Diceros bicornis minor: one gene and its partners. Each later gene encodes a partner of the first gene's protein in a complex. Links are inferred from orthologs where the notes say so. Each region holds a gene or a part of one and is shown in the gene's direction. Other genes may lie near its edges. The genes, in order: CNOT6L, CNOT11, CNOT9 and CNOT2.

What was found.
Region 2: CNOT6L (region 1) and CNOT11 share a complex: the UniProt entries of both Homo sapiens proteins name them as parts of the CCR4-NOT complex. The link is inferred for Diceros bicornis minor from reciprocal best matches to the Homo sapiens genes CNOT6L and CNOT11.
Region 3: CNOT6L (region 1) and CNOT9 share a complex: the UniProt entries of both Homo sapiens proteins name them as parts of the CCR4-NOT complex. The link is inferred for Diceros bicornis minor from reciprocal best matches to the Homo sapiens genes CNOT6L and CNOT9.
Region 4: CNOT6L (region 1) and CNOT2 share a complex: the UniProt entries of both Homo sapiens proteins name them as parts of the CCR4-NOT complex. The link is inferred for Diceros bicornis minor from reciprocal best matches to the Homo sapiens genes CNOT6L and CNOT2.

What each region holds. Positions count from the first base shown.
Region 1 is NC_080747.1:63,136,316-63,143,962, reverse strand, and holds the start of CNOT6L (CCR4-NOT transcription complex subunit 6-like), read left to right. Parts: upstream 1-4,420; 5' UTR 4,421-4,438; coding exon 4,439-4,503; intron 4,504-4,954; exon of another isoform or gene 4,955-5,346; intron 5,347-5,548; exon of another isoform or gene 5,549-5,622; coding exon of another isoform or gene 5,623-5,627; intron 5,628-7,647. UniProt on the Homo sapiens protein: Has 3'-5' poly(A) exoribonuclease activity for synthetic poly(A) RNA substrate.
Region 2 is NC_080779.1:12,245,948-12,253,363, reverse strand, and holds the start of CNOT11 (CCR4-NOT transcription complex subunit 11), read left to right. Parts: upstream 1-4,327; 5' UTR 4,328-4,452; coding exon 4,453-4,975; intron 4,976-7,416. UniProt on the Homo sapiens protein: Component of the CCR4-NOT complex which is one of the major cellular mRNA deadenylases and is linked to various cellular processes including bulk mRNA degradation, miRNA-mediated repression, translational repression during translational initiation and general transcription regulation.
Region 3 is NC_080776.1:8,937,279-8,945,159, forward strand, and holds the start of CNOT9 (CCR4-NOT transcription complex subunit 9), read left to right. Parts: upstream 1-4,698; 5' UTR 4,699-5,040; coding exon 5,041-5,064; intron 5,065-7,881. UniProt on the Homo sapiens protein: Component of the CCR4-NOT complex which is one of the major cellular mRNA deadenylases and is linked to various cellular processes including bulk mRNA degradation, miRNA-mediated repression, translational repression during translational initiation and general transcription regulation.
Region 4 is NC_080756.1:1,258,725-1,266,419, reverse strand, and holds the start of CNOT2 (CCR4-NOT transcription complex subunit 2), read left to right. Parts: upstream 1-4,465; 5' UTR 4,466-4,514; coding exon 4,515-4,519; intron 4,520-7,695. UniProt on the Homo sapiens protein: Component of the CCR4-NOT complex which is one of the major cellular mRNA deadenylases and is linked to various cellular processes including bulk mRNA degradation, miRNA-mediated repression, translational repression during translational initiation and general transcription regulation.

The sequences.
Region 1 (7,647 bases):
CCTCTTAAAAGTACCGTTGGGAGGAATTAAACAGACAACACAGTAGTGTAATGAAGAGAACAACTGAACTAGGTATCTAAAGATCAGTTTCTAACACTGACTTTGCCATTGACTGCCTGGGTGATATTCAGCAAGTCACTTTGCTTTAGGTTCCTCATGTGGAAAATGAGGAAGTAAGACCAAGTGACCTACAACATTTGGTAGACTATGATTCCACCAATAATAATGTCTTATTGTAGTTTAGTTCAGTGATTTTCAAACTTATTTAGCACCAGTTAGCCTTCTTTGAAAGAATTTTCACGTGGAAATACAACGGATTAGTCAGGATGTTTTGGTTGCAAAGGTCTAACTCAAGTTAGTTTAGGTGTAGAACAGAATTTCTTAGTTAATTTAACTACACTATGTGAAAAGGTGGAGCTGGACCCCATGGATGACTGGAACCTGAGACTGGTGCACCAACAGGACTTGCTCTTTACGCTTCTCATCTCTGTGTGATGACTTCATTCTATTCAAGGCAGTATGTGGCCACTGGCCACTCTCAAGACTTCCTTCTTCCTTCCTTCCTTCTTGTCTTAGACTACTAGTACAGTGAAATAGCCCTTCTTCCCTTAGTCCCACCTGAAACATTCTCAGGACGAACTCTGCTTGCTTTGGCTTGAGGCATATGCCCACCCTTTAGCCAAGAAGTTGGGGGACTCTCTTGAGCTGCAGCTGCCATTAGAATCACCTGTTTTCAGTATTGGAAAGAATATTTTCCCCAAAGGAAAGGAGCATTGTTTGTAGAAAAAGGAAAGTTAGCAGGCAGACAATTAAATGGTCAATATGTAAAACAGATAAAACAGAGGCTTTCTAGTTGAGGTCCCACCTATCTGGTCCCCTCTGTGTACCCTAGGTGGCTTCTGAAGCATACCTTTGAAGACCTCATGAGGATCCACGGAGTAGAGCATTAAAATAATTGATTTTATTGATTGGATAGCATGCTAATTGCATAGCATGCCTCCAAGTCCTTGAAAAACTTAAGCACTAGATATTTATTGATGGTGGTGGTGCTTACCTAGTACAAAATTTCTGCAATAGGGAAGTACTAGAAAGAGTGGTGCTGATGTTGATGGGATTGGGGTGGAGATTTTGAATATTCAGGGATCAAGGGACTTGAGACAGGGAGTGTAGAAAGAGCAGGCAGGAGGGTACCAAGATGAACTCTGCCTACTTTTCATTTTACCTAGGACTAATATATATATGGCACACTATTAATAATCGTGGAAAATATTCATCTTTGGCTAAGATACTGGGATGGGTCCTTGGCGTCATCAACAGTCATTCTAGAGAAAGGAACAAAGGGGACTTTGATGGAAAGAGAGAGTTGATGGACCCAAAGAGGGGTAGAGGCAATGAGTAATGCCACCTTTCTTCGATGAATATACCCATGGTAGATGGTACCTCAAAAAACATTAGAAATAAAGTTATGAGGATAGAGAGAGAGAGAGGAAGAGTAAAAAGATGAGTAAAAGATGAGAAGATGGAGAGTAGTTCAGTAAAAGGTAGAATATATCACTGGAATATAGTTTGCAAGCCCTGTCAGTAGGTCTGGGAAGTAAAAATTCAAGATCACCTTGATTAATACTTCTTTAAAAGTTGTACTAATGAATATCAGGTAGATTACATTTAATTATCTTACTAATTATACCTTACTGAATAATTGAAATGTGACCGTTTTCTTGAAAAGTTATGTAGTTAGTATAAAGGTATGTATTGAAATCAGTAAAATGAAATTTAATTGGTTCTTTATCAAATAGTAATAATGTTCTTAAATAAAAAATTTTAAATCTTTGCCTTCTGAGCAAGCTGCTCAACAGAATTTCAGAAAACAGACAAAGAAACAGTTATAAGGGATCTAAGAGGTTCAGCTACCTGTGCTACCAACAGAAAAAACATGGAGAGATCAGATTTACTCACATCAAATATTAATTACTAATTTGGAAAAGACACAGGTAGTCGCTAGAACATCAAGTACTTTTTTTTTATTGAGAAGAAATGAACCAATTCCGTAATAATACAATAATACAAATAAACATTAAGTGTTGTTTCAGAACAAATTGTACCTACATAGTGTTACTGTTACACCAACTTGGTCAAAAAGGCTTACTTAAGCCAAAAGCTTTCACTTGGATAAATCACTTCTTAAAAGTGATATTTTCTTACTATGTTCTTATTTTTAATCTTAATTAAAAAATTGCAGTATCTGTCAAACATGAAAAATTCCCATGAAATGAGACATCAAAAGTAGGTTACTATTCTGTTGCAAACTTTGATGTACTATAAAACTGCTTTTTAAAAATCGCTTAAGTGCTACTCTTTTGTTGTTGGAATGTTTTTTGAATTGGAGTCTTATGAGGGATTTTTTTCATATCAGTGAAGATTTAATTTCTCAGCATTTGTACAGTGCCAACTATATGAAAATTATTATTTCTCTAATTTCGATCTCACTGCAAATGAGAAAAACAACAATCTATTTTTTGGATGATACAGTTATACTGGGTAATATATAAAAGTATTGCTTTCCTTTTGTTTCTAGTGAGTCAATTTATTTGCTATGGTATCAAGAGAACATCCCTAGAGTAGAGATTATTTCAACTCAACCTTCATTCAATTGATATTTTATAATAAAATCCACTCTTTTTTTTAAATTCACTATTCTTAACTCTGAATGACACAATTACAATTATTCCATGGATTGTGACGCGTTTAGTATTTAAAATTTAAAGGCCAACGATGAATATTTCCTATATAAATCTGAGTTTCAGGACCAGCAAACCCCACCATTATTAATGCTTCTTGAACATCCACAAAGGCTCCCCTCTTTCCTTACCCCAGTCACTACCGCTAGTAAGCCTGTGAGAGTGGCAGGTATCATATAGCTCAAGTGAAAATGCCAGTGCCATCAGCCTTATCCTCCTGGGCACTGTTGTGACTATTAATTTTGTGTCACCTTTCATACTTTCATTTCTGGTTTCTTCTGTGAGAATTTCCTGTTTATGTGTCTGCTTCTCCTACCACGACTGTGAGCTACTTAAAAATCGAGACTACATATGCTTATCTATCTCTGACGCTACATACAATGTCTGGAACATAAAACACCCTCCACAGACGTTTTTTTATTGTATACGAATGAATAGCTAGGAATCTATATATCTACAGGTGTTTGAAGAAGCTTAAATCTGTGAGGATTTCCCATCATCTGATTTATATTTTTCAGGTGCCTATTTCGCTCTTTTCTTCACATTTGGTAGCATTTCTCCTTGGGGAAGACTGTTTGTGTGCCAAGGAAAAACGCTGTGGCAAGATGCCACTGAGGCAGGCTTACTATTCTGGGCTCCTGAAGTGACTTGTTTGGCTTTGTACAAAGCCAAAGATAATTATTCATTATATGTCAGCCTAGGCTCAAGATAGTTGGGAATCAGTGGGACTTCTTCCAGGATGAAGACCATTTGGACACCTATTACAAAAGCTGGTATGGGGGTGGGAAACGGAAACCTAGCTGGTTGCTAGGGAGGGAGATAGAAACTTAACACAGGTGGAAAACAAAGTAGCCACGAATGTCCTGAAAGGCTTCTTCAGTCACTCACTCACAATTCCTGGTAACAAAGACGAAAGTGGTGCAGTTGTTCTTCTGCAATCGTGGGGTCTTTTAATAGCTGATCAGCTCTGGCTAAATGATGATTTGCATTTTTACCGCATCTTTTTCCCCAGGAGAGGAAGGTCTTTTACATCCGACAATAGGGTCTAAGATTAATTGCAACCAACACAACGTGCTTAGTGTGCTAAACACTACCCCTGTGGGAAAAAACTACTGAACACTACTAATAAACCCTTGACCAATACTGGTAAGTACACAAGCTCGGAGCATGCATTGAGAAAGAGATTGTGCAAAACTGCAACAGCAGCATTCTGCCTCTAGAGCTGGTATGATTTGTTTTGGGACTGCTGAAACTGACTCACAAAAACAAAATTAAACCCCAGAAACTTAAAATGTCAAGGCCACATTCACCAAGTAAATATTAATATTTCCAGTTTACATTTTGATGTTTTCACTCTGTAGCTGGCGGTTGCCAACAAACGTAATTCTATCGCGAGAAAGGAGAATTAGAAAATAAACAGGACCGGGTTATCGCATAGCGTCACGGGTTCTCTTATTTACTTTCGCGATACAACTTACACAGGCGGCACACGTTAAAAAAAAACCCACCGAAGAGGTCCGGAAACATTTCCTTCGGTTACTTCACCTCACCTGGCGTCTCGTTAGCTACCCAGACCGGCGCTCGGCTTCGCCGTCACGCGGCCTCGGGCGAGCGAGCAGTAAACAGCACCGAGTACAGGCACGAACACCGGGTGAGGCGGCTTCGCCACTCTCTCCCCTTCCCCCACCATGGCTTAGTGGATGTGGATTTCTGATACCCTACCAGCCTTCCCAGCTCTGCTCGTCACTCAAGCCACGAAAAGAGAGTAAGAAAACAGCAAGGGTAAAGGAGAAAACAGGCAAGACCCCCCCCCGGCAGCCGCGCGCGCACGCGCACCACGACCAAACGCGGCGCCAGGGGGCGGGGCCAAGGCGCGGCGCTAGAGCTCCGCCTCCTTGCCCTCACCCCACCCCTCCGCGCAGGGGAGTGAGTGACTCCCGCCAGCCCCTCCACGTCAATCAACCCTCCTCCTCGCACTCTCTGCACCTTGTTATTAATCTCAATACCGATATCGCGCGGACGCCTCTCCCCCAGCCCTCGGGGGTGTGAACGTGTGTGAGCGAGAGCAAAGGCACCGAAAGCTGGCGTCTCTGTGCAGCAGCCTCGGCCGCGGCAGCAGCAGGCGCAGCAGTAACCCCCACAGCGGCGGCAGCCCAGGCGCCAGGAGGCCAAGGCCAAGGCCAGGCTCTGCGCGGCTCTCGGAGTAATAGCCGCGGCTCCGGCGGCTGCGGGGGCGAAGCTTCCTCCGGCGGGGGCCTTCGCGTCGGCGGCCGCGGGGCCTCTCCTGCGCGCCCAGGGTCACCGTCCCCGAAGCCCGGCGGCGCGGCCCTCGTCCCCTCCCCGCCCCCCCATCCGTCTCCTTCTCGCTCCCTTCAGCCTCCCTCCTCGCCACCGCCTCTGCCGTTCCTCAGGCGGCCCGGCCCGGCCCGCCCGCCCCGCGTCCCCTCCGGCCGGTGCCTCTCCCCCCGGCGGGCTGCCTGCATGTCTTTGCTGCCCTCAGCCCCGCCGCCACCGCCGCCGCCGCCTCCCCCGCCGCCGCAACACCAGCACCAGCCGCCCCGCCGCCGCCGCCGCCGCCGCCGCCCGGACCCCGGCGCGCTGAATGCAGGTGAGGAGGGGGCGCAGGCCCTCCGCGACCCAGGCCCGGGCGCCGTACGCGCCCGCCCGCCGGAGAGCCGGGGTCCGGGCCCTTCCTGTGGCGGCGGCTTCCCTTCGGGGCGGGCGGGAGCGCGGGCCGCCCGTGGGTGTTTGTGTTTGCGTCTGCGGCGGCCGCTCGGGAGGGGAAGCATCTGTGGGGGCCTGGTGCGCGCGCGCGCGTGTTTGTGTGTGTGTTTCCCCTGCCGCGGGGAAATGGCTGCTGTCGCTCCTGGGCCGGAGGAAGAGAATGAGGTAGAGTGTGTGTGTGCCTGCGAGTAGGATCGAGAGTGTGGGGAAGAGGAGCGCGTCCCCGGGGAGATGAGGTGGGAGAGGGACAAATGTTCGTGTGGGTGCGCGAGTTGGGACTTTGGCGGGCGGAGAGGCGGCCTGAGGACCCACGGCGAGTGGGTGTGTGTCGGGTGTGGGGCTGACCCGCGCCGCGGTCGGAGGCGGCGAAGGTTCCGGGGTGTGTGTGTGTGGTGGGGGTGTCCGCGCCCAGGGCCCGGGACTCTGGGGGCGGGTTCCGTGTGTCCGGGACCCCCGAGCGGCGTGTCCCTCCCGCTCTGTAGCCGAGGCTCCGGAGCCTCGCAGGTGAGAGCTGCTCGGGGCCGGGCCGGGAGGGCGAGTGTGTGTGCGGCACACGCGCTGCGGTCGGGCCGCGCCGCCGTTCCGCGGGCTGCCGTTCCCGGAGCCGCGGCAGGAAGCGCGCCGGCCTGCAGCGCGGCCTAACCGCCTCGGCGCCCGCCCGCCTCCCGGGCCGCGCGGGCCCAGGGCGCCGCCGCCGGCCCGGGCAGGTGAGGGTCGGAGGCGGGACGCGCCGATTGCCGTCGCCCCGGCCGCCGGCTCGCCTGAGGAGAGGCGAAGGCGTAGCTCGGCGTTCGAACTGCGAGCTCTCCCCGGCCGGCGGTGGAACCCGAGGGAAAGTGAATCAAAGCAGTAAATCTCGGGGATACGCGCTGGCGGGATCCCTTCCTTAAATCCTTCCCTGACGGCTGTGTGGAGGGACTACATCCATATTTTCATTTTTCGTTGCACGTACTTTCTCCTTGGTAAGAGGTATGCTTTTTTTTTTTTTTTTTTTTTTAAGATAAAAGATTTTCTTGGAGAGGCCGGGGAAGAAATGGAAGCTGGCTTCCGTGTCCTGTGGTGTTGGTGGGATTGGATCGATTTGGGGCATTCAAAATTGTTTTATCCTGCCTCCTAGGGGGAAAGGCGTGTACGCGCCGAGCTGAGGGGGTCGGTGAGGAAGAGGAAGTTCCTGGAGCTGTCATCCTGAACTCGGCCGACTAGTTAGCCTAGGCTCTTGAGATGGGTTGTGTTCAGGAGTTGGGCTGAGCCGTTTGTCCACATTGGAAGCACAGTACTACATTTTGGGAGACACTAGCTTATTGCTTGTAGTTAGTTATCTTAATTGCCAGTCAAGATAGTCATGCATAACACAAACAAACACGTTTTCCCTCACAGTCTCCAAAACCTAGATCAAGCAGCTTCTATTGTCTACTCAGTGTGTGCTCCTGGAGAGCTATTTTGAGAGTAGTCTAAGTAAAACGCAACTGTAAAGATAAATCGGCCAGTAGGTATACAGTGCACTTCAGAACCCAATAGAAATGGTATTTGGATAATTCTGTGCTGATTTACTTGATCTACTCTTCCCTCTTCCATTCGCATCTAGTTAGCCCATCTAGAAAACCCTGTGGATCAAGTCAAGATATAGGTTCTATCTTTGGAGGCCATGCTCTGTCACGGTGGCCAGAGATTGCTTTTTTCTGAACCTGGTCTCACAAAGAAATGTTCCATGATGTTCACCGGGAAGTAGGGGGAAGAATAGGATGGGTGGAGAACTGTTTTCTGTGACCACTACTGGAAAAACAACACATGTCGTTTAGTGGAGAAAGGACTTGTTTTACAGACCTCAGAACTCTCGCTGTGCCATTTTTCTTAGCTTTTTGACCTGAGGCAAGGTATCTAATATTTATAAGCCTCTGTTTTCTTCTCTGTAACAGAGATAATACATTTGTAGTAAGGTTGTCTGAGGATAGAAGGAGAAAACAAATGTTTGGCGCATAGTAGATGCTTAGTTAAGCATTAGTTCCTTCTCCTGCAGCCTTGACTGCGGGCATTGAAAAACATAAGTATAAATACTCATTTAATTATTGAAATATTATGTAACTAAGTAAAAAATCAAGACAATAGAACATTTCACAGTCCTTTGATGTACATAAGGTATAAATAAACAACTTCTGATGTATTTTAGAAGTCTTTTTTCAGAAAT
Region 2 (7,416 bases), on another chromosome or scaffold:
GATAGCTTAGGGCCTCTATTGGATTGAATCATGCCTCCCCAAAACTCATGTATAGCTGGAACCTCAGAATGTGACCTTATTTAGTGAGGCAGTCTTTGCAGATGTAATTATTAAGATGAGGTCATACTGGAGTAGGTGGGCCCTAAATCCAAGGACTAGTATCCTTATAAGAAGGCCACGTGAAACACAGACACACAGGTGATACTGAACCTCTTAATCTCAAGTTTGTGTGCCCAAGGCACAGAAAGCCAAACACCGAGACATTGGTGCTTGGAGACAGAGAAAGGCTCTGTTCAAGTTGGCCAAGACGAGAAGGTGGGAGCACGGGCTGTCTCAAATCTGCCTTCACCAGAGCAAAAAGCAGGGGGGTTTTATAGAGCTAAAGGGCTTGACAGGGGGAGCTTCAGAGAAACAAAGGGGTCACTCCTGATAAGCCCCTGGGCAATCTGCAAGGGCTGCTGGGGGCTGGCCATCTGGTGATCACAACTTCCCAGGAGGCGTTCTCTTTCTTCTGCAAAACAAGCTCTCAAATCCTCTCCACCCAAGTCACCCCTCAAGTTAAACAAGAAAACTGCAAATTGACAAGATTCATCTATGTCTGTGTTGGGAACAAGGTGAAAAAGCAATCATGTTCTTATTGAATATCTACAGTAACCCTCAGGTACCCAGCTCTACCAGGAAGAAGGCCATGTAACTGCAGAGGCAGAGATCGGAATGGTGCAGCTACATAAGCCAAGGGATGCCAGAGACTGCTGGCAACCATCAGAAGCTGGGAGGATACAAGGCAGGATTCTTCCCTGGAGTCTTTAGAGGGAACATGGCTCTGCTGACACCTTCATTTCTGACTTTTAGCCTCCAGAACTGTGAGATAACAAATTTCTGTTGTGTTAAGCCACCTAGTTTGTGGTTATGAAACCAGTAAACAGTTAGCCATTGATGATTAGGTAGCTAGTAACTAAAGTTTTGTTTTGTAATTACTGATTATAGCTTTTAGTTGTTCACCGGTCCATTGTTAACTGCTGTTTAGGCAATACGCTATCTGACTCCCATTAGGTTCCTATAGATAACATCTCTCTAGCACCTGGGTCACCATGGTAATGGATGTTTGAGCTGTTTTTCAGGAATTAGAACCCCTTGTCCACTTCAAGCCGGTTGAGACCACCAACCCACCAACTGGGCCTGAGCAGACGTCTGATAAGTGACCTTTTGATGTCAACAAGCTAAAAATTCCACCCTCGGATCATGCTAATGCCACCATTATGTGAACATGTATCCTATGAAGAAGCCTGAAGTTTGACTACACTTGTGCAGATCATCAATTACCTCGCCTCTCCTCACCTCCAACCATGTATCTCCACTTTTCAGACCAACTTGCCCCCATAAATATCCCTGAATCTCCGTTTTCAGGGCAGCAGATTTAAGACTTGTTCTCCCACCTCCTCACTTGGCTGCCTTGTGATTAAAACTCTCTCTCTGCTGTAATCTCGTTGTCTCGGCAATTGGTTTTCTGGGTGACAGGCAAAAATGACCTTGGTTTGGTAACAGTTACTTGTTACCAGGAAACTAATGCAAGGCCTGAGAGTTGTTTTCAGGGAACATGTAGGAAGTCTGGAAATCTTTTTTTGTTTTTTTTGAGGAAGATTGGCCCTAGGCTAACATCTGTTGCCAATCTGCCTCCTTTTTTCCCCCTTTTTTCTCCCCAAAGCCCCAGCAGATAGTTGTATGTCATAGTTGTACATCCTTCTAGTTGCTCTATGTGGAACGCTGCCTCAGCATGGCTTGACGAGCGGTAAGTAGGTCCGTGCCCAGGATCCAAACTCTCAACCCCTGGGCCACCGAAGCAGAGCTCATGAACTTAACAGCTACCTCACCAGGCCAGCCCCCAGATATCATCTTAATTTTGAAAATGCTCCTATAGGAAGAAAAGTATTTAGTTCTTTTTTGGGGGGAGGGGTAAATATAATGTTCAAATATTTTGAAACATCTTGAAAAAAAGTAAAACCTATTCATGTAGGCTAATTGCTGTAACAAACAGACCTCACAATGTAAAATGGCTCTGTTGAAAAGAAATAACAGGCCCAAAATAGAGGCACTTGTGTTAAGTACCACCAAGACTTAATACCTAACCTAAATACAGTTTCAGCCTCTCCCAGGAATGGAAATTTAAACCAACTGGTCTGGAATTTCCTGATCAACACTAGTGAGGTAATCTGCCTGATAAGGCCTCTTGCCTTCCTCTAAGGGAAGGTGATGTTCAGGCAAAATAACCAATAACCATTCTATAGATAAGAGAGACAGGGTGAGTTTTACTTGAGGCAGGGTGAGGATTATAATCTGGGAAGGCAGTTTCCAAAAAGGAAGAAAATGTTCCAGAGAAGCATGGTTTTCAGTCCAGTCTTATACCTTTTGAGAACAAAGCACATACATTAAACACACCCAAGATACATATTCACCAAAGTTTCAAAGATGTATTTAGTTGCAAATTAGCAGGTCAACATGACTCTGATGTTGGGAAATAGTCTAATACAGCTGTTACCCACACAGCGTAGGAGGAGTAGTATGCATTCTTATCTTAAGAGAATGCATTCTTGGGGCTGCCCCGTGGCCTAGTAGTTAAGTTCGGTTCGCTCCGCTTCAGGGGCCCAGTTTCTTGGGTTTGGATCACGGACATGGACCTACACCACTCATCAGCCATGCTGTGGTGGTGACCCACACACAAAATAGAGGAAGACTGGCACAGATGTTAGCTCAGGGCTAATCTTTCTCAAGCAAAAAAAAAAAAAGAGGATTGGCAACGGATGTTAGCTCAGGGCGAAAAGAGAGTGCATTCCCTAATGGTTAAGCAGATCTACAATGCATGTTTGATAGGCCAGAAGTCAGGCTTCTTTAGTTCAAGCCAAACCAGTTTTAAACCTGAATACTTACCCCATATACCTCAATATGCGAAAATCTCTTGTCAGTAACCTTGCCTGAAATGATCTACTCTTGGTCTCACCCTCATTCTGCCTATAAAAACCTTCCAGGGACCAGCCTAGTGATGCAGCTGTTAAGTGCTCTCGCTCCGCTGCTGGTGGCCCCGGTTTGGATCCCAGGAGCACACCAATACATCGCTTGTTGGGCCATGCTGTGGCAGCGTCCCACATAAAGTGGAGGAAGATGGGCACCGATGCTAGCTCCGGGCCAGTCCTCCTCAGCAAAAACAGAGGAGGATTGGCATGGATGTTAGCTCAGGGCTGATCTTTCTCATGCACACACAAAAACCTTCCATTGTTGTCCAAGTCCTTGGAGCTCCTTTCTACTTGCTAGATGGGATGCTGCCTGATTCATGACTCACTGGATAAAGCCAATTAGATCTGTAAATTTACTAGATTGAATTTTTGTACTTTAACAGTTCAAACACAAGACAGTTTTTTTACTATAGTAAACAATAAAATGAGAGTACTTTCAAGCTAATTGGCAATTTCTCTTCCTTCACTTTTACTTTAGAATTAAGGTGGCGCTTAACTAGATAATTCTTGAACTGCCACCATTGTTGAGCGCAGGGCGGAATTCCCAGGCCTGCCCTGTGGGCACGTTTCTGGAGGTCTAGCTAGGAGCTGGGCAGGTGTGGGAGACGTCACTCGGCCGTTCTCAGCCCCGAGAGCACATTAGAGTCACCTGGGAAAGGGTTTCTGTTTTTTGTTTCCTAATACCTGAGCCATCATCTCCGGGGCAGGGGCCCGGCACCAGCATTTTTAAAGGCTCCCCGGAGGGTGCCCACGCGCCGCCGACACCCAGGATCAGCGCCCCAGGGCAGGCTAAGTCAAAAGTCGCACAACAGTTTTATAAGTGAATATTTATTGGAAAAATTTCCCCGAAATCTCCTTAAAAATAACCGTGTACAAAAGCTCTCGTACAATATGACTCCATTTCCGCAAAAACGATTGTAAGACTGGGAATTAACTTGGGTTATGAGAAAGGATGGTGTCTTCAGTTATTTGCATTTAAAAATTTTTTACCATAAATAGTCATGTGCGGTACATTAAGGGAGCTATTAGAATCTAAGGTGCATTTCTCCCGACAACAATGAAGCCCGCATTTGGGACCGTTTGGTACCAGGCAGTGCCCCGGGGGCTCACGAGCCGTCCTCTTTCCCTCGCACAGGCGCAGACGCACCCCCCGCGCCCGGCTGCCACGCGGGTCTTCCTCCGCGCGCGCCCAAACCCCTGCCGGCGGCTCCCGCCCCTCCTGCAGGCCCCGCCTCCACTTCCGGCCGCTTCGCCCCGCCCACCCAGCGCCGCCGATCCTCTCCCTGGCCTCGCTCCGCGCCGTCCCTCTCTTCCGCGGCCGTCTGGCTTCCCGGCGTGTTTTGTTTGCGACGCTGTCGTGTCACAGCGCGCTTTACGGCCGCGGGGACGGCGCGAGCCGGCGGCAGGGCCACTTCGGCCGGGAAGCAGGACGGGAAGGAGTTTGATGCCCGGCGGCGGTGTGAGCGCGGCGTTTGGCCGGCTTCTCACCGCCGGGGAGCAAAGGGGGGCCCGGGAAGCGGCGGGGTCGACGTCCAGGAGCGGCCCGGGGGGCTCCGGCTCGGGCGGCGGCGGCAGAGGCGGAGCAGGCGGGCCCGGGCCGGGGAGTGGCGGCCCCGGGGGCCCGGCGGGCAGGATGAGCCTGACCCCGAAGGAGCTCTCGAGCCTGCTGAGCATCATCTCGGAGGAGGCGGGCGGCGGCAGCACCTTCGAGGGCCTGTCCACCGCCTTCCACCACTACTTCAGCAAGGCTGACCACTTCCGCCTGGGCTCGGTGCTCGTCATGCTGCTGCAGCAGCCGGACCTGCTGCCCAGCGCGGCGCAGCGCCTCACCGCGCTCTACCTGCTCTGGGAGATGTACCGCACCGAGCCGCTCGCCGCCAACCCCTTCGCCGCCAGCTTCGCGCACCTGCTCAACCCCGCCCCGCCCGCCCGCGGCGGCCAGGAGCCCGACCGGCCCCCGCTCTCAGGTACGCCGGGGGCGCGCCGCCCTGCCCCCGCCCGGTGCGCGGTGGGGAGACTTGGAGTCACCAGTTTTCCACCTGCGCTTTTGGGAATGCACCCGCAAGTGAAATTATCTCCTTTTGAAATCCGCCCCCTCGACACTACCAAGTGTGGAGAAATGGGAGCTTAACGATCAATTCATGGCACCGAAAATTATTCCTCGCAACGGTACAGACCGTGAAATCATGTAGCTCAGTGTGGGGCTTGACATTTTTAGTGCTTCAAATACAGCTCTTGCTTGTAAAGCCCGTCTGAGGTGTGTAAAATTGTAGCTGATGACACAGTGGATCTGCCCCTGCTTTTCAGTCTCAGAGGAGTAAATAGAAGTCGTTATTCAGAACCCGAAGAAGTTGTTGGACGGAAATACACATTAAATAGCGGTTAAGGACTTTGCAGCCACCTTTGTTGGGCTGCTAGGTATACTTGGATAATGTGATGGGGGCAGAGGATAGAAGGTAGTCTCGTTCACCGCTTAGATTAGAAAACGCATGACTACTGGACGTTATGTCAAATACAGCACTGGTAAGATCTGATCAGTGGGTTCCGTCCGAGGCTCCCTTTCTTTTTCTTTTGAACTCAAGCAAGAGATACTATGTGAGACGTGACTTGAGGAGAAGACTTGCAGCCAGGAGGGGAGAAAGGCACAGAGGCGATGGTGATGAGGGATAAATGTACCTAGAAGACTTAGACAAGGACCAGTGTTGTAGAGGAAGCAGGCGGAGGTGGGAAACAGCTTGATCTTACAGTACTTAACCAGTGGGTAAAAGGGCAGGTCACTCTATGGGTAGGGGCTGCTATACAAGGAGTCAAAGGTTAAGGTAGCGGATTTTGAGTTAATAGCGGAGTTTTTCGCAGCGCAGGAGGGCTTCTACATTATAAGCCGGCTGGTGTTCTGCCTGGCATCCCCTCTGGATCTAAAGCGTTTTCTCTTTGGTTTTCTGCATTGCTCTTATCAAAGGGGCAACCTTTGTGTTGGATGAGATGCCCTTAGGGTACAAGTACTGAACCTGGCTTTCAGGAAGTTTGAGAATGCCCAGAAAGGGAATGCAGCATGTGTATGAGTGGTCAAAACCTACCACCCTGGGGTGCCCTTACCAGAGGATGGGGACAGTGTGGGATTTAGGTCAGAGGACCCTTTGAATTCTGAAGGACAGGTTAGGAAAAGGACATATAATGTCGCTTTCAAATGCAAGGAGTCTATACCCAGATGTAGTCCATAGACTGCATTGTAAACACAAATTTGCCAGAGAAGGAATCCATGGATTGGTTATTTTACCTGTGTCTCAGTTTCTTCATCTGTAAAATGCAGATGATAATTCTTAGCTGGTAGAGTTATTATGAGGAATAAAAGTATCTATGATGAATGTTACCCATTATTATCATTACTTTTATTAAAGGTAGGGACAGTGCTGAAATACACAGCCAAGGGAGTATCAATGCCAAGGCTTATGATACTGTACGTGTAGGGTGAGCATATAATGGGTATATTTTTAATAAGTTTTTCAGATGATTCTAACGCAGAGCCAGAGTTGAGAATGTATCTGGAAATAAATAAGATGGCTTCTCAGCTCTCAAGAAGCTTGTGTTCTGGTTGGGGAGGCGTAAACATAGGATGCAGTGTGGTAAGGGCTGTATGTAGTAGGTGTCTCAGAATGCTTGGGAGCACAGAGGAACGTCTACCTGCATAGCTTGCGAGATTCTCAGAGGGAGTGATGTTTTTGGTGGATGTTGATTAGAGATGGGGGGTGGTTTGGGAAGGATGTGGCCCTTTATTTCTTTTATTCTGTTTTTTTTTTCTTTTTTTCTCCCCAAAGCCCCCCAGTATATAGTTGTATATCTTAGTTGTAGGTCCTTCTATGTGGGACGCTGCCTCAGCATGGCATGATGAGCGGCGAGTAGGTCCGCATCCAGGATCCGAACCGTTGAACCCTGGGCTGCCGAAGCAGAACGCGCAAACTTAACCACTGCGCCACCGGGCTGGCCCCTATTTCCTTTATTCTTAAAGAACTGGGTGTATTGGATGTTTAGAAATCAGGAATCAGAGAAGCTGAGAGATTTTGTGCAACTGGAGTGTAGGATACATGGATTGGAGGGGAGTTCAAGAGATGGGATTAGGACAGTGGGTCAGAACCAGATTATGAAGAGCCTTATAATGGTGCAGAAGTTTGGGTTTAATTCTGTGTTAACAGGTTAAGTAACATGAGCAGATTTGTACCTAGAAATATGATTAAATAGTAAGTGGGAGTCTGGACTGTGGGTCAAAACTAGGCCGGAGTCAAAACTGGGAGCTGGGGAAATCAGGAAGGCTGTCCTGTAGTTGGGGGCAGGGAGGGTGGTGCGGTTGGACATGAGGGAAGGGAGTCTGGTGGTATTGCTGCTGTTGGATGGGTGAAGCTTGTTGAGCTCC
Region 3 (7,881 bases), on another chromosome or scaffold:
ATAAGTGTGCCTTTTTAAAAGAATCCAATTTACAAAATTGAAATTAAAAAAAAAGAAAGTGATCATTTATACAACCAAGATTAACCCTTTGATTATTTAAAAACCACAAACTACCTTACTGAAAACATTTAAAAAATAATGCTCAAGATACACACACACACAAGATCAACAGAACCTTAAGGATATATCTGCTGTGCAAAATGAGGGACTCCAGGAGGAGCCTGCACCTTGATCAATTTGTGTCTTGGTTTATTTATCCCTGCTACATTTTGAAACTAAGAAGGCAGTGAAAAAGAGTATATCCTTTGTTGACTTTATAAACATTGTTATATAATGATGTCTCAAATCTTAAAATACCACTACTATGATGTGCTGGTACAAATTTCAAAAGGTGGGTAAACTTCATTTTTACTTTTCTTTTAAAACTAATTTTATGGGTTTGTTTCTCAAATTTAGGCCTCTCTAAGCCTCAACTTTCCCTGAAGTTTGACCCAAACATCTCTCACTGCCTTCTTCAATGCTATAACATCAACTTTACATTTATTTGTTCACTCAGTAAAAAATCATTTACTGAGCTACTCCAATTTGATGGCACTGTGATAGGGACAAATGCAAAGATGATACAGTCCATGCCCTCATTAAGAGACTCCCCAGACTTCCTTGGATTTGTCGTTCCACAGTCATTCAGGCAAAAATCTTAGCATCAGCTTTAATTTCATTCTCATTTATCTAAAACCCAATCTTTTCATGGCTACTACCCTAATTCAGAAACTCTTCACTTTGTCATCACTCCCATCTAATATTTATTACACAACATTTACTAAGCACAGTACTAAGGGCCATACATGCATTATCTCATTTAATTTTCAAAATAATCCTAAAGGACAGGATAATAGGATAATCCATTTTACAGACGAAGAAACTGAGGCTTATAGAGATTAAGTAATTTACCCATGGTTACAGAGTCAGTAAGAGACAAAATTAAGTCTAACACTAGAGCCCATGTTTTTAAACACTACCATATTGCATCCTCATCAATGATTTGCAGTAATCACTTTCCAGTCTCCATTCTCTCAGGATTTTTCCATCCAATGAATCCTTTGCCCTACAATATCCTTTCTAAAGAACTTTATCTCTTACTAACTAAAGTATGCACTACTTGTCTCCTTAGCTTTCTCCCTAGAGTGGAAGGGTGGGGGGGCTGTCTTATCTTCTTTTGTACTCCAACAAAATAACAGGCACTTAGTAAGTGCTAAATATTTGCCAATGATGCTAACTCTCTCCCAAACATTTTTAAGATTTTTAATTTATTGTGGTAAGAATACTTAACATGAGATCCACTCTCTTAACAAACTTTTAAGTGTACAATACAGTACTGTTAACTATAGGTACAATGTTACACAGCTTATCTCTAGAACTTATTCATCTTGCTTAACAGAAACTTTCTCCCAAACATTTTTAACAGCTCATTGCTACCTATAAAATAAATCCAAACAACTATGTTTGGCATTCATACACCTATTTTTTATTTTCTATTTCTCAACACAAATCCTGTTCTACACACAAATTATTAAATTTTAACATTTTCTTCCACATCCACCACCAACAACTTACTTAAATATGGAATTTTTCTTTATTTTTGGAAATCTTATCCTGACTGGTCTCACAGTTTAACCTGTTGTTAAAATATATAAACCACTGCTCTGATTCCTAAGGGCTTTCTTTCCTAACAAGATCCATAAAACAAGTGCGCAAAGAGATTAAATTAGTGTTGTGGCTGAGAGTAAAGAAGAAGTTGACCTAGATAAAGTTTATCTCCAATTCAAAGAGTCTAAAATATGAATGATTTTATGATATAAGAATGGGTAAAATCATCCAGAGCTGGAAAACTGTTTTTTTTCTTTTGCATCCTTGAATTTGTCTGCAGGGTGAAAAGGTGTGTGTCATGGGATGACAAGATTATCAGTAAGCTGGTGCTTCCAAAAGACATGATGGTTCTCACAGCAAGTGCCAGTTTACTTATTCATTTGACAAATTCTTGAGAAATAGAAATGAAATAGTTACATATTATATATTGGAGAAAGACTTTAAATAATCACACAAGTAAATATATAATTACAAGTTCTGAAAAATGACATAAAGTTCAGGGCATGATGAAAGATTATAACAGGGTAGAGGGGGTAGAGGTTAGAGAGCATCAAGAGAAGGCTTCTCTGAGGAAGTATCACTTAAGCTGAAAATTAAAGAATGAGTTAATTGGGGGATGGCTGTGCTGGAACAATCTAGGCAAACAGAACAGCATGTGCAAAGGCCCTGTGATGGAAAATAACTCGGTGTGACAAAGGAAACTAAAAGCAGTGAGGCTGGAGTTTAGTGAGGAAGAGGAGGATGGTGCAAGATGAAGCTAGTGAAGCAGGAAAGAATCAAGTTACACAGAATCTTCTAGACCATAGTAAGGATTCTGAATTTTACCCTAGATGTAATAAATACCTAGTGATAGGAAATCCAATGAAAGGTTTTAAGCAGAGAAATGACATGTTACTGCTGAATGGAGAAGTGATGTGGTTTGTTTGGGTTTGGGGAAGAGAGTGAAAAGAGTAAGAATGGAAGAAAACAGGGCAACCAGAGAGGAGAGTATTGACCTGACTCAGCCTATAACAACAATTACAATTACAATTACTGCTTACTGGCTATTTACTGTGTGCCATGTGCTTACCATGGCTATCTCATTTAATCCTCATAACAATGCAATAAGGTGATTATTATTCCCATTTTACAGATGAGAATACAGGGAACCAGTGACATCAAGTCCAGGTAAAACAGGATTGTGGCTTGAACTAGAAAGGTAATACTGAAGATGCACAGAAATAGATCCAAGACATATATCGGAAATAGAATAAACAGAACTTGAAGAAGGTATGGATACATGGGATGAGGGAGAAGTCACGAATGGTTTCCAAGTTTCTAGCCTATGTAAGTGGATAAATGGACAAACTGGGATACTGGAGGAGAAAGAATTTGGGTATGGAAAGATTAAGACTTTGGTTTTACACTTGTTATATTTGAAATTCCTAAGAAAAAATCAAGTTGAGATGTCAAGCAGACAGGTGGGTATTTTGATCTTGAGCTGAAAACAAAAGGAACAAGCTGGAAATAAAAATTCTTAAGTCATCAATATACAGATGGAATTTAAAGCTTAGGGTGGAAGGGAAGAGTAAAAGGAGAACAGGGCCTCGGACAGAAGCTAGATAGTCCTTTTTTCCCCATCAAACGTCTCTTGCTATGGTCATCGGTTACTTGGATGTCATCGGGCTTTTCAGTCCCCTTCAACTTTACCTTTCAGCAGAATTCAACACTATTGATGACTTCTTTTGTCTCTTTCACCCCTCTACCCAGTTATTAACTGCCAAGAATCCCTCAGTGCTCCATCCATCCTAGGTCCCCTTCTTTTTTAGAACTATACTCTTTTTAGGCAATTTCATCCACATCCACAGCTTCAACTACTATCAACACAGCGATAAGATGTATACATTTATCTATCTATCCAACCCAGAACTCTGCTGAGCTCAGACCCAGTACATCCAACCGCCTACTTGACATCGTCTTAGATATCTCTTCCAGTTAGAGACCTGTCAGATACTGCCACCCCAAAAAAGGCGTTTACACAAAGCCCAAATTTTGAAAGGATGACCACAAAACCACTACAGGCCAACTTTCCAGAACAGGATTTTGTCATCAGTTATCGTTTCCTTTCGTGGACCGTGACCTAAAATAGGTAAACCTGACAACCTGATGGCTAGAGATGGGGAGCAACCAAAGGCAGGACAAAAAACACCCTTCGTGCCTTTTAGCGAGAGATGGTTAGGTGAGGAAAGAAGGGAAAGAACGGTCAAGAGAGTGAAAGAGTATCACGTCCAAGGCCTGATGGACGTGCGGCAACGGAAGTCACCTGAAGACACAGCAGGCCTCGCTAAGGGGCGAGTGGCGGACGACGACAGCCCCCCGCGAGCAGGCGCCGGGTTCGGTTTGCGGAGGGAGCGAGGGACAGCAGAGACCAGGTCCAAGGAGAGAGAAATCCCGGGGGAAGACCCAAGCGGAGTACCTGTGAGGCCAGGGGAGCGTCGAGGGGCTGGGGGCGGGCTGAGCGGCACCGGGCGAACTCTGGAGGAGTGAACGCCGAGTGGGCGGACCGCACGGGGCGGGGGGGGTCTTGGGGAAAACGGCTCAGTTGAGAAGCTCGCCGGGCCCGCCTTACCTGTGCCTGCGAGTCCGGAGCCCCGGACAGGCCCGCCGGAAGCACGGAGTCCGCGCGGAGGGGGAGGAGCCCGGGGTAACGAAGGAATGGACACCGGGCACCAAGGAGTGGGGCCGCTCGCTCCCTCCCAGTCAGGGAGAGCGGCTGATGGCGGGAACTGTGACCACACGCAAACACGCACGCACGCACGCACGCACACTCGACGCGACCACACGGGGCGCGTGCGCGCAAGCCTGCAAACTCCGCCCCTCCCACGCCCTCGCCCCGCCCCAGCACCTAGCGTAGTCTCGCCGAGGCAGCCCCGCCCCTGCCCTGATGTAGTACGCATGCGCACTTTCCACTTCGCTGCCTTGGGGCCTCCCACCGTTTCCCTCATGCTCAGCCCAGTCGGGCATGCGCACTACTTGCCCTCCTGGGACTGCCTGGCTTTTCCCGCCCTTCACTGGCCTCCGGAGGAGGGTCAGAGTTCACGTCCCTCTCTTGGGATACCAGCTCGAAGCTGGGGGATGCGAGGACTAGTGGGTGGCGGACGTCCTTCCGGTCCTGAATCTTAAGGGGCAAAGGACACACGCTGGGACTATTAACTCAGCCGAGAGCTAGGAGGCGGGAAGAGGTTGTGTGGGCGGGGTCAAGGGTGAAAGGTCAGAGGGCTGCGAAGGGGGCGGAGCGAGCCGGAGGCGGATGGCGGCTGCGGCGGCTCATCGTCTTTGGCGGCAGAGGCGCTGAAGCGGGGACGCGGGTCGGGCGCGTCCGGCAGTGGGAGGAGAGCGGCGGCCGCTCCCAACATGCACAGCCTGGCGACGGCTGCGGTGAGTGGCCGGGCCGCCCGGCCTCGGCCCAGAACCCCTCCTCGGCCCTGCTTTCCGGCCTTCTCTCCTCGCTCCCTGCGTCGGGCTCGGAGTCGGGCTCCTCCTGCCCTCCTTGCGCGAGGCCCCGGCCCCTCGTTGCCGCGCTGGGCTGCGTGGGACCCGGCCCCCACGTTCCTCACCGGCCGGCGCTCGCGGCCTCTGGCGCCGCGTATCGCCTTCTCTCCCGGCCCGGGGCCTGGTCCGGCGCCCGGAGCGCCTTTTCGCGGCCCGGACAGGCCATTCATTGATTCACTACGCTGACCGACAGTTTCGGCCTGCCGGTTTCGTGCTGGGCGTGGGCAGGGATGAGGGGAATGCCGTGGTCCCTCTGCCACGGCCGCGCTCGGGACGCACTGCCTAGGCGCATCGCAGCGGGAAAGAAATGGCTACTAGCTCAGACCGCTTGCGTTATAGATGGAAAAGCTGAGACCCGGAGAAGTGAATAATTATTACGTCTGACTTATGGTTCTACTGCGCTTACAACCTTTTTTCACACGTCTCATTTTACCAGCGCGATCTTTTATCAAGAAAAACGGATCGTGTAACTCACCTGTTTAAAGTCATCTTATGGCTTCTCTTTGCATGTAGATAAAATCCAGACTCCTTGCCATGGCCTACAAGGCGCTGCTTGTAGGATGTGGTCCTTACCCATGTTTAGTCTCATGTCATTTGCTCCGTAGGCTCTGGCTACAGGGACCGCCGTGCCATCCCTTCTGCCTGCACTTTTGCATTCCAGGGTGCACTTTCTGATCTCTATTTCTGGAATGCTCTTCTTACTCTCCCCGCCCCCCCCTTACTTACTTACACACAGACACACACAGCATGTGGATGTAACTGGCTCCTCTTCCCTCAAGTCTCAGCCTAAAAATCTCCCTAGAGTGGCCTTCCTCGACCACCCTATTTAAAGTAGTTTTGTAACCCCCAGCTTTTCTCTGTTAGAGTACTGTTTACAGCATTGATCCCAGTTTGTAATTTTTGTATTCTTTTATCTGTCTGTTGTCTGTCTCCCTCTTGATCCACGGGGATCATGTGGGTCCTGTTTATATGGTTACCCCAGTGCCAGGACAGTTCCTGGCACAAAGGAGGGGCTCAAATACTTTGCTGAATGAAGGGGTATAGATGAGGGAGGTCACTCCTGAGAGCACATAGCTGTAATGGGAAAACACGATCATATGATTTGAGGATACTCTTCTGAATGCTCATCCTAATTTTTCTGTTTTACTAAGGTGATGTGACTTAAGGAGAGAGTAGTATACTGAAATTGCATTACCAGGGAAAAGGACATACTAAATAGAAGACCAAAAAATTGCCTTAACTTTAAATATATAAAGTGAAAAAGAGAGCTGAGCATGACTAGGTTATAGAAAGCATTGTCATTTCCCAGGCCTGTGGCATCTCTGTGTCCTATCACCATGTTTCTAAGTGTTTGTAACTCTTCAAAGTGGAGAGGTACTTTTTATATCTCTCAATTAGGTAATTGCAATTTCCCCAGCTTTTTTATTTCTTCTAAGTAATACATGTAATTTGAGAAGAAGCAAGTCAGAAGATATGGTTGCTGCTCCTAGGGGAGTGGCAGGTTAAACAAAGGATTCTTCTAAGGTTGGCTTGTCCATCTTTCAAAATCTGATTGTCTTCTCCAGACTTTGATATCAAGCTGCTCCTTTCCCTCTGCCTCCGCAATCTCTCTACCTAGTCAATTCCCTTTATTTTCAATTGCTCCCTAATGCATCTTTGGAACAGCCGTTAAAGCTGTGGTTCATTACTTATAAGAAGTACTGGATACATGTTTTCTTCAATTAAATTTACAATGCTTTACATTTATTTAAAGTTTGAGCTTTTAGATATGCTGTTTGGACCACACAGAAACTCTGACAAGTTGCTTTGCACCACTTATTTACTAGAATATCTGGTTAGTGAGGAGACTGAAGCATAGAGAAGTTGAGCGACCTCTTTCCCAATCCTTCACGCCTTCCATTAGACGAAACTGTCTGTGTTATTCTGATCTGGGTAAAGGAACTGTAATGGTGTATATCACTCACAAGAAATTGAGAAGAGTTAATAATACATGCAGCAGTGCCTGCAATAATCTAAGCCACTTGAGAAAATGCTCACTTTCTGCCTAATGATGAAAATTTTTGTTTGTGTATACCTTTATCTCTTTTTAAGAATAACATCACTTCAGCTAGGGAGATAGTCTATCAAAGGACAACGTGATCACATGTGAATGCAGGATGTATTCACTAGAGGGAGGAAGTTTCTTAAATTTTGACTCCTGAGTAGTAGTTTATTACGCTAGAAATGTATAATATAGTAGACTCTTGTCATTCTTTACAGAATACATCCTAACATCATCATTGTTGCCACCATAGAATATAATTTCGTTCTCACATCTATTAAATAGGGACAGAGACACCACACAGGATTATTCTAAAAATTAAATAAGAATAACAAAGTGCTCAGTGGTTGGCTAGGTTCACTCATTGGTTAAATGACTTGCTCCCAGACTTCAGCCGTGGGATGCTAACTCCTGCCTCAGCAAAATAACAAATCACTTTGTTGTGGACCTTGGAGGTTGCTTCAGATTAACAGAGCTGCAAATCTTCACGTACCGTGGGTCTTCTGTAATGAATGTTATGCTGGTGATCTAAAAGAGCCAAAGGTAAACCTTTAGGAGATGCATGGGGTATGCGTTTTCTCTTTAATTTCCCCACTAACTTCCACTGGCAATTCTAACATCCTTAAACCCTTGTCTTTCCCTCTTTTTGCTTGAGGAAGATT
Region 4 (7,695 bases), on another chromosome or scaffold:
CACTAACAGTTTTTATTAGTTCTGTTGAATTTGTCAATAGACTGGGAAGGTGAGCTAAAGGCTTTATTCCCTTTATATTTGGGGAGATGTTAGAGTTGAACACTAGTATATTTAACCTGTTGCTGACTTTTCTTAAACTTTGGCAACTTAAGGTATCCTGGTATACGTATTAATTAGTGAAATATTTATCACCCTACTGCATAGACTTATTTGTGATCATTACTGTTTTGTTTAAATGGAACTGATATCACGTATCCTCACAGAAAATTTCCAATGCAGTTTTTGAGAACTAAATTAACTATTCGTGTTTAACCAGATAATTGACAGACGGTTTCTTTTTGAAACAAAATGCTTTTTAATTATTAATCAAGTTACTCGCTTTTTATTTATTTATTATTTTTTTTTGTGAGGAAGATCAGCCCTGAGCTAACATTGATGCTAATCCTCCTCTTTTTGCTAAGGAAGGCTGGCTTTGAGCTAACATCTATTGTCAATCCTCCTCCTTTTTTGGTCCCCAAAGCCCCAGTAGATAGTTGCATGTCATAGTTGCATATCCTTCTAGTTGCTGTATGTGTGACGCGGCCTCAGCATGGCCGGAGAAGCAGTGCTTCTGTGCACGCCCGGGATCCGAACCGGGGCCGCCAGTAGCGGATGGTGCGCACTTAACCGCTAAGCCACTGGGCCGGCCCAAGTTACTTATTTTTGATTTCAAAAGCTGCTATGTTTCTGATGTATAATGAACAAATGTGTGTAATTTTTTTGTGCCAGACTTTTGACTATTTTCAAGCACCATGAGATGGATGGTTAGAAACAATAATATTAAGGTTTCTATTTAACCCTTTCAGGACTGAACTGTATCTCTTTAAAATTCTTTTTCTTGTGTTATGATGTTTGCCATTCATATGCTTATGTTTAGCTTATTTTTTGTACCTTGAGCATACTCTACACATTCAGTCCTTAAGGGGTGTATTTTACAAACTGTGTGCTGTAAGGTTTATTAGCAATCAGATAGAAAACTGATTAAGTTTATACTATAATTTTGTAGAAAAAAACCTGCACAGCTCTGTACTTCATCCATGAACAATTTGCAATGTGGGCAGTTTCAAGGAATAAATAAAAATAAAATGTTAAAACAAAAAAGGAATGTAAAAATTTTAAGTTAAACATAAAAACAGTGAGAGCAAGAATTATTGAATAGGATGGAATCAGTTTGCAGTATGGTTTTTAGATTGTTTCTTCCAGACCCATGGTTTCCTTGCAATCTGTATACTTCATAATCTTCACTTTCTTCTGTACTGAATGTATTTTCACTTTAAGTTCTTCAGTTAAAAAGCAGGCTAACACTAAGCATTTGAATGGCTAATGCCATTACTGCTTAAGAAACACAGATAATTCTTTCATTGACCTATCATGTGTATTTATAAATTATTTTCATTCCTGTTATCAATTCAGTATTTAATTCATTTTTCCCTTTAAAACAGATTTCAGTTAATTTTTCACTGCCAGCAAAAATGTATTTGCTGATTATATGTGAGTTTTAAATTGATTTACTATTATGTACTGATTGAATCTGGTAACTTTTGGGGGAGTAATTTTACTTTTTTTTTTTTTTTTGTGAGGAAGATCAGGCCTGAGCTAATGTCCAATGCCAATCCTACTCTTTTTGCTGAGGAAGATTGGCCCTGGGCTAACATCCATGCCCATCTTCCTCTATTTTATATGGGATGCTGCCACAGCATGGCTTGACAAGCAGTGCATCGGTCCGCGCCTGGGATGCGAACCTGTAAACCCCAGGCCACTGAAGCGGAGCGCGTGCACTTAACCACTACACCACTGGGCCGGCCCATAATCTTACTTTTTAAGTGAAAGATATCTTATAATTCATACATAGGCTAGAATAATTAATGTTTTTATTAAGGAAACAGCTTAACCATGTATTTAAACATTCAACCAAGTTGATGTAGTTGAGAAAGCAGAGTTAAAAAGTATTTTGTTGGGCCGGCCCCGTGGCTTAGCGGTTAAGTGTGTGCGCTCCGCTACTGGCGGTCCGGGTTCAGATCCCAGTCGTGCGGCGCACTGCTTCTCCGGCCATGCTGAGGCCTCGTCCCACATAGAGCAACTAGAAGGATGTGCAGCTATGACATACAACTATCTACTGAGGCTTTGGGGGAAAAATAAATAAAATTAATAAAAAAAAAAGAATGTACATAAGGAAGACCTGAGGGTACTGGCTGATGAGTTGGACCCAGGGTGTGAGGAATCACAGAAGATTCCTAGTTTTCTGCCTGAGCAAGTGAATGGACTGTTGGTGGTACTGTTTATGGAAATCAGGAAGACCGTGGGAGATGTTTGGATTCAAACGTTGTTTCAGCACATTAAATTAGAGATGCCTGTCCTTTGTATCCCTTGCCATGATAAGATTTTTAGTATTGTCTACACACTTTGACAAACAGGAGGCCTCCCTTTCCTACAGCTAGTTATGAGTCAACAAACTCATTCGTCCTATTAGGTATACAAGGAATTTACCTTACACACACTTCAAAAACACACAACATCTACTCAGGTATGGACTGTTTTACAAGTAAAAGTTAGAAAATCTATCAAAGTGAATAGGTGAAAAACAAAACAAAACACCATGAACTATCTACCAAATGGGCAAATTTGATCAATACTGGCAATAAAGATGAACTTTTTGATGCAATAGGGCAATTTAAAAAATACAGCATTTAGAGTGCTTAATAGAAAGTCATAAATATAAGCCCTTAACAAATGTTAGCTCATTTAATACCTAGAACCCACCTCTAAGGCAGGTATTAAACAAATTTATATAGATTGGGCACCAGTAACAAGACAATTTAAAACTTGTTCTTTAACAAGGTCTAAAGTAAATTTATCCTAAACAAGCAGTGTCTTCAAAAAAGCAGTAGTCTCAGTGCATTCTTCTTCCTAACACTCCTACCCTACACATTTGTGGTGAAAATGTTTGTTGTTCTGTCTCTTGCAATAAAATATCAAGGTAACAAAGCCCTCAAATTAGACCCTTTGGAAGTGATTTCTCCAATTTCACCAATGTTCATGCTATTTAAAACTTGTGCTTTTTTGAGTAAATATAGTGATGGTAAGAATAAGGTCCAGCTTTTGGTCTTAACAAAGTCCTATACAGGAGTCAAACTAACAGATTAGAATGGTAATACTTGATGCTACTATATGCTTATAAGCATATCCCGTTTTTATCATTCCATCTTATGATTCCAAATATCGAGTTATACTTTCAAATTACTAATCGCTAGATATACACGCTCAGTAGTACATAGACACATGTGCATGTATTCATACACCTATACGTATTACACATACTTAGAGGCAGCGTCAGCCTTTTAACACACATCTTAACAGGGAAGAGAAAGCTCAGAGCAGGAAAGGACTGTGGGGGGCGGGGAGGAAAAGGGAGGGAAGGACATAAGGAAGTGTTGATCCTCCTTGAAGTTTCCTGAAGTAAAAAAGACAGTGAGGCACAATGTTTAACGAAATGAATAACCAGGCAAAACATTTTCTACTGGCTACATCAGCACCATTTGGAGTTTAAATAAATTCACACATCTACTAACATCTCAAAATAGCTTGCCTCCCGTAAACATGACAAAGTCACCTTTTATTTTATAGTATCCTTATTTTTCCTGCTATTTATGAGTGACGGAGGCCGTCTGCCTTTCCATGATAAATTTTAAATTGGATTACAGTGAGTTTTTAGCAGAAGTTTTATTTACTCCACACGAACTGTACTTTACATTAACAAATTCTATCACTCAAACAGAAAGGAGTAACAATGTTCACTTGATGGAACAGCACAATCCCAAGCGCACACGCGGAGGCTCCGCGTCCCAGACCGCCGGGCAGCACCCCGGGAGGCTCACCGACGCTCAGAGGAAGGAAGAGCCGTTACTCCACGGAGAGCGAGCCCACCTCCCCTGAGCGGCAGGTGCTCGTCCGGGGGCAGAGGTCGGCCTCCGCTCCCCCAGGCCCGGCGGCACCGCGGCGGGAGCGCGCCGCTGACCGGGCCCCACCGCCCGCAGGTGCACGGGGGGCGCAGGCGCCGGGCGGGGGGAGGGGGAGGAGCGCGCCGCTGACCGGGCCACACCGCCCGCAGGTGCACGGGGGGCGCAGGGGCCGGGCCGGGCCGGGGGAGGACGGCGGCCGCGGGGACGAGTCCCGCACTCCCCGCCCCGGGCCCGCCCGGAACCCGTGGTCCGCTCGCCGTGACGGCCGCGGAGGAGCCGCAAGCCTCCCGGAGCCGGCGGGGACACGACGAGGACGCGTGGGAGAGAGGCCGCCCACCCCCGGCCCCGGCCCGGCCCGGCCCGGCCCAGCCGGCCCGCCGCTCCCACCTTCCGCCGCCGCCGAAAGCGAAGCCGGACGGCGGGGGTCACGGTGGGGGTCAGAGGGTAAAGGTCCTGCTCCCAGCAGCCTCCGCGGTGGATACGTCGCCATCTTGGATCCGCGGGACAAGAAAATTCATGCGGTGAGTTTTTGGCAAATTTTCGGAAGTCTGGCAGCGGGGCGCGCGGCGGGGGCGGCGGATTCGGGGCCCCGCAAGGCGGGGGAAGGCCCCGGGGCCGGTGCGGGCGCGCCGGGTGCCCGCGTGCAGCGCCCCGGCCCGCCGCTTCCCGTTGCTTTTGTCTGGCTCCAGTCGAGAGGGCGAGCGGCGGCGGGGAGGGGGTGGCGGCGGCGGGCGGGTGCGGGGAGGGCGGGCGGCGCGGGCCGGGCGCGGCTTCGGGGTCGGCGGCCTCGGCGGCGCCGCTTCCCGGGCGGAGGAGCCTGCCGCGAGCCGGCCGGCCGGGCTGCCGCCTCCCGAGCCCGCGGCTCGCGCTCCGGCCCGGCAACTTGTGTGTGTGTGTGTGTGTGTGTGTGTGTGTGTGTGTGTGTGTGTGTGTGTGTGTGTGTGTGAGGGAGGGGGGTGCGGGGGTGCGGGTGCGGGCGGGCCCGGGAGCTCCCGTGCGCGGTGGCCGGCCCGGTCCTGGCGCCGCGGCCGGAGCGCCCGCCGGGCTCCACTTCCGCCGCGGCTGCTCCACCTTCGCGTCTCGGGTCTCGCTCAAAGTTTCGCGGAAGAAGCGAGTGGGGCTCGCAGAGGCCCGCCCGAGTCGGCCGAGGCTCTGCGGTCGGTCTCGGAGGGAGAGCCTCGCGCTCACTCCGGGTGGCTGGGCCTTGCGAAGGCGAGTTCGAGTTTCCTTTCGTAAAAGCTTTTCCAAGAGTTTGCATTTATTCCAGGCCCTGTGGGGACGGTGTTACCACCACCCAGGTCTTACATACGGGTACCACCCTCTCGGAAGGAACCTCAACATCAACTTCCTTCGAATTCTAGGGGACACCTTCACTTTTCAACATCCAGAAGGCCGAATGCAGCACATTTTGTTTCGTTTTCGTAAAAGTGGTCGAAGAATCCTACTCCTTTCTTAATCTTCTGGACGGTTTCTAGTAATTCAGTACCCTGATGTCAACCCTTAGATTCTTGGCGAAATGATAGAAAGTACTGCGTTAACAAAATCTGTTCAGAAGGAGGCCATGCTTGAATTTAGTGTTCAAAGTTGGACACATTTTTTGTCATGCTGGATATCAGGAATTTCTAGACTTCTAGAATCGTAAATGCAACTTTTGATTTGCCTTTTGAAAGAAGCTAAGTGTAAATGATCAAGTATGGGGGGATACAAATTTGAAAAGTATCTATTTACATGCTAAGTTCACGTTGGGTTGTTTGGGAATATTGGGTATATTTGAAAACAGTTGTTTCCCAAACGTCAATGCCCACATCTCTTGCAGTTTTGGAAGATACCTTTATCCTAGATTTGAAGGATTGATGAAGAATCACAGTGGACTGAAATGTTAAATGTTTACATTCTGATTCTTGTCATTGAAATATTTCTTAATGAAGTAAGAGCTTTGGTAGGTTTTTCGTGTTGAACTCCTCTTTAGTTTGTACTTCTTTTGTAATATTAAATCTAAAAGAAAAATACAAAAAACACGTAGAAAAGATAACTCTTGCTCCACTTCTTTCTTGACTTTTTAAGATCCTTGTTTAATTTTAAAAAGGTACGTTTCTCTCTCTTTTTTCCTGAGGGCTTGAATTGCAGTGACTTCTGTGAATACTTTGTATTTTAGACAGCCGTTGAGAAACTTACACACTTTTTGCATCCTAATTATTACTGCATCAATAAAAATAAATTAATGTAAGCATCATTTGTTGGCAGAACTCTTTTGTTCTAAGTATGCTGTATAGAGGTATCTGTAACCTAATCTGGTACTCTTGAGGAATGAGAATTGCCTGTATCTTTAACCAAGCAACAAATACAGCCTTTTAAAAATTTTCAGTTTCTATAATACTTTCGTTTTAAAGTAAATTTATATGGTGGAAAAACGAGGGCAAAATGCATGAGTGATTTATGTTCTCGGTCGTTTGAGAAGTACTTGATCTTGAAGATAAAATAAAACTCAGAATGATATTTCTCCCCAAGAGAACTAATTACCTATGTTTTTACTTAGTAACTTTGGAAGTTTAATTTACTTCTTGATTTTTCAGAGATATTTTACAGTTATAACCTGAAAATTCTCTTTGTTCACAAGTAAATAAAATAGTTGAGATTTATGAATAGATTTTATTAGAAGTGTTGCTAATTAGAAGTGTTTTGGTTTTTATCTCTTCAGTAGGTATTGGTATTAAAAGTACTTGAGTTTTGAAAGACTCGTACAGAATTTTTCACAGCCCGTGGGAAGTTAACAGTTTCACCAAACTTTTTGGTGACAGATTTGCTTCATAAGGTTTTCTGATGATACAGAAAAATATAGAAAAGTTATGCTTCACGTCTATATATGAAATAATGAGTAGACATTAATAGACTAGTAAAAATAATTTATTTTTTGCTCTTTAAAAGCAGTGTTAAATAGTATTTTTTTGATTGTCAAAATTTTTAACTGTAAAAAGTTCACTCTGTTATGAGTACATATTTAAAAGCAAACTTCCCATGTGCTTGCTTGAATAGGCATTTGAGGACAACTTATGCAAATAGTGATACAGTCTTGTAGGAAAAGATACTACTAAATAAGATTTTGTTTGTTACCTAGACCTCTAGTGGCTTTTATAACACAAAGAAGCAAAAGAAACCAAAGCAGCAGGTAGGGCAGTTTTAGAGGCCAAGTTCATCTGAGTTCCACTTCAGTGTTTGAATAGGATTACATACAATATTGATACCAAGGGATCTGGTGCGAAGATAGTAGTCGTTCTGGTGATGATCCTTGCTTACTAAGGATGATTTCTACCTGTGATAGTTAAAGGAATTGAATTTCATTGTGACTTTAATAGATGCTTTGAAAAGAGCTGTACTACAATTGATGTCTGTTGTAGAAAGTCTGCCTTTGAAAAGAAATAGGATGGACATTAGGGTTTTAAGGTTTTATAATTATTTTTTAATTTTTACCTTGGTTTTGTTCGTTGGGTCTTTCCTTTTTCAATTTAAATACTATATATATTTTTTTCTTCTTCCTTTAGTTTTTCTGTTTCGCATCCTTTTTTAAACTCTTAAAACTCCTCTCTGAGGACAAGTCATGCTGATATGGCTTGTTCATTTATTTACTTTGTACTATTAGGGATGACCTGGAAAAAGAATTCCTAATATGCTTTTCTGACGGCTTGTTCTCTGAAATACA